2 linked regions of the Arabidopsis thaliana genome follow. The protein of the gene in region 1 interacts with the protein of each later gene in a pairwise test. Each region holds a gene or a part of one and is shown on either strand. Other genes may lie near its edges. The genes, in order: AT4G14103 and AT5G07490.

Region 1 (3,929 bases):
CTCTGATGATCTCTTCTCTCTCCGATGCCCACTCCCCGAGGACAACTACACTGTTACCGGTGCCGTCGTCCAAATGTTATTCCATAAGGCCGCCGCGAACAACGCCGTCTCAGAAATCTTCAATCTCGCTTCTATACCAGATGCTGACTACGGAAGCTTCATTCCTGGACCCCGCGAAGGATTCAACCTCTCAGCCTATTATGCCATCTCCAATGAAGGCAGCGATGAAGTTTCGAAATCTGCCGTTTAAAACTAGTGATCTCTTGTTTTACTACGGACCCTCTGATAATATGTGACTCTCTTTTAATTCTTTACTAAATCAGTTTACACAACAGACAAACTAAAACAAACAACAAATGAAGTTTAACATTGTGAGCCAAAAAGGATAGCCTAAATAACATATCTTTTGAGCAGAACTACGCAGAAACAAGAGAAAATCATTTTAGCGACTATAACAAGCTAGGGTACTTACTCCCCCAAAGCTTTGTCAATCCATCTCTGAGTAAAGGAGGATAATCTTCAAACCGGAGAGGTACCCTTTAGAAACAGAGGAGCCCATTTGTCGATACAGTAGATGACAAGCTGAGGTTATCAGAGATTAGTTGGACAATACATGTCGATGAAGCTACTTTAGAAACTAGCCTCTGAAGTCGGCTTGAAACTTCAGTTACATCTTCAACACTTGGTGTATTGTAGTACAAAATCATCTTCTCAAGATTCGGCATTGTCTCCAAGAAATACTTGATCTGCTCTCTCTGCTTCTCCATGTCATCACTGTTTTCACCAAATTTCAGTATCTTTATTACCTTCACCGGACTTGATGATTAGCAACTGAGAATCTCCTTCCGAGGCTTTTTGCACAAGCACACATCTCCACATCTATATGTGGCTTTGTGGATGAGGCCCTGAAACATACATAAGTGAAATGTTATCAAAGTTTGAAAAATGAGACAACAAAATGCTTTTCAAGGGTTTGTTTCTTACTTGGAAGATAAGAGTTTCAAGATTTGGAGAATTCTTGAGCAAGCCCGGTACTGACTGCCATCCTACTCTCGGATTACTCTCGATGGTTAAATGAGTCAGGTTGTTGAATATTGGTATAGCATCACAACTGTAAGTAAGTACCTGAAACAAAACCATAACAACTAGATTCACTCAATTGCAATCACTAACTCAAATCCTTAAGCAATGTTATTACAGGTTGTTTGTCTTCTTCTAAGTAACATAAATTTAAAAGCGGGATAGACTGAAACCAAACCTGAAGAGTGTTGGCAGATAGATAAAGAGTCTTCACATTGCATATACGCATTATAAAATCTGTAGCATTGCCAACCATATCATTTTCCCCATAACCTTGATGGTAATTTATCAATAGAGGCTTCAACAAGCGAAGATCGATATGAGCTTCAACAAGGGAATCCAAATTCACTTTCGGATACTTGCCTGCAACAGTATCAGTAAACTTCAAGTATACAAGATTCGGAGTATCTAACAACACACTCTTTGGAAACTCATCTCGCTCTTGCCAGCTAAACCTTAGCCTCTTGAGAGTTGGGACAGACACCGAGGCAAAATCCCAAATGAACCAAGATATATCATCAAGAACTAAATCCTCAAGCATGGGACAACCAGAAAGAAGCTTGGTAAGCCCAACACCATGCTCTTCAAAATGGGTTGCCTCAATATAAAGCGTCTTAAGCTTTGGGAGATGAACATCTTCAACATCAATCGTGGGATATAGCCCAAACCTTAGCTTCAGCCAAACCAGTGTCTTGCACAAGTAGACTTGTGAAGGAAGCAGAAATTCTGATTCCAAATTCAGGTGTAGATCAAGATCGGATACACCCCGTTCCAACACATTATTTATCCAAGGAATGATACGGACTGGATCAATGCCATCTCCAATCTTTAGAGAGAACTTGTGTAGAGGAGAATTACCTTGCAAAGCCAACACTCTATCCACAAAATCCATAAAACTTGTAGAAATTTCCGTCTCATTCTCAGGATTCAGATAAACAGAGTCATCCAAATCAAGATTAGGGACAAAAGCAAAGAGATACCGCCATTTTTTCGAAAGAACCGAAGTGGAAGCAGCTTCTTTAGTGGGGAGGAAGGACAAGATATGGGAACTAATGTCATCCGGTAAACTACTGATTACATCTCTAGAACCACTAAGATCCATCCTTTTCAACAACCTGAAAACCAAAGACACGAGACCGATTCAATCTTCCTCTACGTGTTCCAACCGAGAAGCTAAGAATCAAACAAACAAACAAACACGCTAGCTTGAAAAAATAAAAAGATCGATATTGAAACTTACTTGTATTTGTAGGCTAAAGTGAAGATAGCTCACCAAAATGACTCAACTATTGTAGAAATTTAGGGTTTTTGGCGATTGTATTTGTAGGCAAGAGTGAAGAAGAAAGTGTGAGTTCCTACTTCCTAGGCTAGCCTTTTTTTAGTGTCTTGTCCTAAAAGGCTAAAAGATTTTGTAAGATTTTGGAAGATATTTTGAGCTCCATTAGATAAAATAATATATTTAATCAGATATACTAGCATCTTACAAAAACATTACTTGACATAATTTGATTTAGCGATAATTGTTTTATTTGTTTGATTAGATAAAATGTTAATTCGGTTTTGTTGCAGATCTTTACACAAAAGGGATGTTTCAGCTTTTGTTGTCTGCTTACTCCTACCAATTACTCTTACAAGATCATTTTACACAACAGACCAACTGTAACAAGAAAAAACTGAAGTTAACATTGCAAGTCAATAAGGACAAAGCCTAAATAACACGTCTTTAGAACATAATTAGGCAGAAACAAGAGAAGATTATTTTAGTGACGACAAGCTAGGGTACTCCCTAAGCTTTGGTAATCATCTCTGAGATAAAGAGGTTCATCTTCAAACCGAAGAGGTACCCTTTAGAAACAGAGGAGCCCATTTGTCGATACAGTAGATGACAAGCTGAGGTTATCAGAGATTAGTTGGACAATGCACGTCGATGAAGCTAATTTAGAAACTAGCCTCTGAAGCCGGCTTGAAACTTCAGTTACATCTTCAACACTTGTTGTATTGTAGTACAAAATCATCTTCTCAAGATTCGGCATTGTCTCCAAGAAATACTTGATCTGCTCTCTCTGCTTCTCCATGTCATCACTGATTTCACCAAATTTCAGTATCTTTATAACCTTCACCGGACTTGATGCTAAGCAACTGCGAATCTCCTCACGAGGTTTGCACAAGCACACGTCTCCACATTTATCGGTGGCTTTGTGGATGAGGCCCTGAAACATACATAGTGAAATATTCTTAAACTTTGAAAAATTGAGTCAACAAATGCTTTCCAAGGGTTTTGTTTCTTACTTGGAAGATAAGAGTTTCAAGATTTGGAGAATTCTTGAGCAAACCTGGCAATGACTGCCATCCTACTTCGGGATTACTCTCGATGGTTAAATGAGTCAGGTTGTTGAATATTGGTATAGCATCACAACTGTAAGTAAGTACCTGAAACACAACCACAACAACTAGATTATCATCACTCAATTGCAATCACTAACTCAAATCCTTGAACAATGTTAAAAAGATTACAAGTTGTTTTTCATGATGAAAACAAACCTGAAGAGTGTTGGAAGATAGATAGAGAGTCTTCACATTGCATATACGCATTATAAAATCTGTTGCATTGCCAACCATATCATTTTCACCATAACCTTGATGGCCCTGTAACAATCTAAGATCGATATGAGCTTCAACAAGCGAATCGAAATTCACTTTCGGATACTTGCCTGCAACAGTGTCAGTAAACTTCAAGTAGACAAGATTCGGAGTATCAATAGACACACTCTTTGGAAACTCATCTCGCACTTGCGTGCTAAACGTTAGTCTCTTGAGAGTTGGGACAGACACCGAGGCAAAATCCCAAG
Region 2 (3,612 bases), on another chromosome or scaffold:
TGTTTTTCTTTCTAACCTATGGGTTTTATGATTAAAAAAAAAAAAAAAACAGTTTTGTTGCCTGTGTATTAAAGAAATTTAGAACTGACTTAAAAATAAACTATTTCATGATTTGACCATCTTTTATCTTAATTTATTTTATATAATGGAATAGGTTGAGGATTTACATTGTATAATTAAGAAAGACATAATTACTGTTCTGTTTTGTTTTACGTTTTTTAGACCATGTCTATCACATTTTGCAAGTACTAATCGTCTATTATACGTATTTAAGTACACACACGTGTTTGCGTTTTTGTGAATAATTCAGGGAAAAAATGGGAAAGTTCTGCGAGGAAGTGAGGAAACTATCGATAGAGTTAATGGGAGCAATAACGGAAAGCCTAGGTCTAGGGAGAGACTACCTGTCGTCTCGGATGGACGAAAACGGCATGCAAGTCATGACAGTTAACTGCTATCCACCCTGTCCGGACCCTGAGACGGCGCTAGGCCTGCCGCCGCATTCAGACTATAGTTGCATCACCCTCCTTCTACAGAACTTGGACGGTCTCAAGATCTTCGATCCAATGGCTCACGGTGGATCTGGCCGTTGGGTTGGTGTCCCACAAGTCACAGGTGTACTTAAGGTGCGTTTCAACTGTACCGGTTTAGACGTAAACAGAAATAATTGAAACGTTTAGATCCAAAACAAAAAATGTAATCACCATGCATCTTCGCTCTTTTTTCTTTATTTAGGTCCATATTGGTGACCATGTGGAAGTTCTAAGCAATGGATTATACAAGAGCATCGTTCATAAAGTCACTTTGAATGAAGAGAAGACGAGAATCTCTCTCGCGAGCTTGCATAGCTTGGGTATGGACGATAAGATGAGTGTACCGCGCGAATTGGTTAACGATGAAAATCCGGTTCGGTATAAAGAGAGCAGCTTTAACGATTTTCTTGATTTTCTTGTCAAAAATGACATTTCTCAAGGGGATAGGTTTATTGACACTCTCAGAATCAAGGACTGATTAAGAGGACAATAAAATAAATACAGAATAAGAATAAAGGACTGATCAGGTCTTAGCCCGGTTTGGTTTGGTACACGGTATGACTCAGTCCATGTCCTTTTGGCGTTTAACCTGTGATAACGTGGAGATGTATATCAGAGACATATATACGTGTTAAATTGTAATGTAAGATATATAATTAGCATATCATTCTCTCGATTTCCAAATATTCATTGAAATCAAAATACCACCCAAATATGTATGTGCGCGTCTAATTTAGATTATTTTTATTAAATATTTTTCTATTTACAAATAGAAGAAAAGAAATATAATATGCATGGTTAATTGGTTTTTTTTTTTAAACATAAATATTTTAAAAACATAAACCCTTTAAAAAAAAAAACCTTTAAAAAAAAACATAAATATATGTATATAATAATTCGAAAAAATCTACGTAATTAATAACGAGTGAGATTCATTCAAGAATTTTGACAAAGTCCTAACATCGATCTGGTCCATCTGTATTTACCAAAGGCGTAGGCCCTAAATTCGCCACCAAATATTTAATAAATTTTTAAGGGGTGTTTGTTTAGTAAAGAATTACGATTTTTATCTGATTTGACACAAAAGTATCTTTTAGCCTTAATTCGTTACGTTGTAAAGACACTGATCCAATCCCTTCTACACAACAAGATCGGATTATATAGACCCAATATGTACAGATCCGCGAGCTGGAACCGTGTGACCGAGGATTACTCGGTGCCTTGGTCCGCACCAAAGGGATTATGGAAGGGCTTAGACGAAGACGAGCCGGCTCCATACGATCCCACTGGCCAAGAGATGACTAAGAAAGAGAAGTCACGTACCAAGTTTGCTGAAAACGCCGTTCACATAATCCCTTTTGTCCTTCTTGCTTGTGCTCTCGTCCTTTGGTTCTTCTCTAATCCAGGTTTGTTTACAATTATACACATTGTGTCCCTATTCATGATCTTAGGCTATCATATATATTTGCTCGATTCTCTATGCGTGCAAACAAACCATCTATTTGAGAATGTTGCATCTTCTAGTCTTTTTGATCCAGTTATTTACTTGTGATAGAAGGCCATGAATCAAGTTTCCTTAAACACATAATCTTTCTTTTTTAAAATCAATTCGGAACTCACATGATAGATATGTGTAACGTACATACATATTTGATACTCTTAAGTAGATTTGTAGCGTCAAATAAAATGATTGCACATTTTTTTACGTATAGATGTAGATGTTGGGGTGAAAGGGGACTCCATTGCGGCTAGGATTGAAGGATTAACGATCGAAGGAGACATTGACAATGACAGCGACGGAACTCAGACCGGATTCTTAGGAGCCGCCACAGAGGTCGGACATTCAAAAAATAAACTAAAACGCGAGGCTAATAAACGCAATCGGAGGATACAAGCTTCAAGGAAAGTGATGAAAGGTTTTTATTAATCACCTTTTTGTTTGATAAATATTTACGAGATAAACTTTCAAAACGAATTATTCTTTTTTTTCTTTCTATTTTGATTGCGCATGTTAGTTGATCAGGAGATGTGTTTCTTTGGTTAAACTTTTATATTTAGTTCTTCACATTATCTTCAAGATCCACAAGAACTACTTTCACTCTGTATTGACGCCTTTCTTTTTGATTAATCTGCTACAACTTGGAGGACAGCGGTTTGATGTTTAAAAAAGACTAGGGAAAAAAGTTTAAACGTTACCATTTGTGCATGCAATTGCTTCTTTTCTTTTCAGAAAAGAATACGCGTCTTTCCAAAAAAAACCTTGTAAACTGGCATAAATTCTGATTAAAAACCGTCACTTTATAGATCTGCCAAAAATAAAGACATTAATCTAGTGTGTAAAGGCTCTAAACAAAAAGAAAACAATTATATCCGAATCCAATTTTTCTATAACATGATTTTAGATTCAACTGTTTTAGCTACAAATTAGAAAGAAATTATTTTTTTATCTAAAATTCATAGCTAAAACAGTTAGAATCTAAAACCATATTTTAAAAAAAGTAGATTCGGATATGAAATGATGAAAAAACTTTATTTTCGTACGATTCTCAATTTAAAAAGATGTATTTAACGTAACAATTTTCGGATATAACAAAAAAGCGATTTGAATAGTAGATGCGAGGAAAAAGTTTTGTTTTTGTCTTATCTTCGGTCCGAGAAAATGTATTTAACGCAAAACTTTTCGGACATAAAGAAAAAACGATACGAATATCAAGTGCACAGAAAAAACTTTATTTATGCCTGATTTTCGCTCCGAAAAAATGTATTTAACGCAAAACTTTTCGGATCTAAATAAAAAAGTGATAAATAAGCTTTTTATGGTGATAATAGTATGCTGTATAATCATTTCCTACTTCGATCAAATTTATTACGACTAAAATATAAATTATGGAAATGACATTTGCAAACTATTTCTATTGTCTTTGGATTTAGCAATGCTCTCACCAACCTACCAAGATTGCAAAAGAGAAACGGCTGTCGAGGATTTAAAGGATTCCTCTCGACACGTGTGCCAGATGGTGCTCCTCTCCTCTTTATTATTTTTAAGTTCTTCTGATTATCACTTACACGTGTGCCTTCT

Evidence for each region.
Region 2: the proteins of AT4G14103 (region 1) and AT5G07490 interact in a protein complementation assay, tested with the Arabidopsis thaliana proteins (one large-scale study listed by BioGRID).

The regions. Positions count from the first base shown.
Region 1 is NC_003075.7:8,125,201-8,129,129, reverse strand, and holds AT4G14103 (F-box/RNI-like superfamily protein), read right to left. Parts: upstream 2,216-3,929; 5' UTR 2,183-2,215; coding exon 1,259-2,182; intron 1,126-1,258; coding exon 985-1,125; intron 906-984; coding exon of another isoform or gene 825-905; exon of another isoform or gene 807-824; coding exon 540-806; 3' UTR 297-539; downstream 1-296. Other genes in the region: AT4G14104 (capsid-like protein), read left to right, coding at 1-250; AT4G14096 (F-box/RNI-like superfamily protein), read right to left, coding at 2,928-3,290, 3,370-3,510, 3,622-3,929.
Region 2 is NC_003076.8:2,368,544-2,372,155, forward strand, and holds AT5G07490 (uncharacterized protein), read left to right. Parts: upstream 1-1,589; 5' UTR 1,590-1,704; coding exon 1,705-1,939; intron 1,940-2,245; coding exon 2,246-2,460; 3' UTR 2,461-2,783; downstream 2,784-3,612. Other genes in the region: KUOX1 (KAR-UP oxidoreductase 1), read left to right, coding at 311-626, 736-1,011.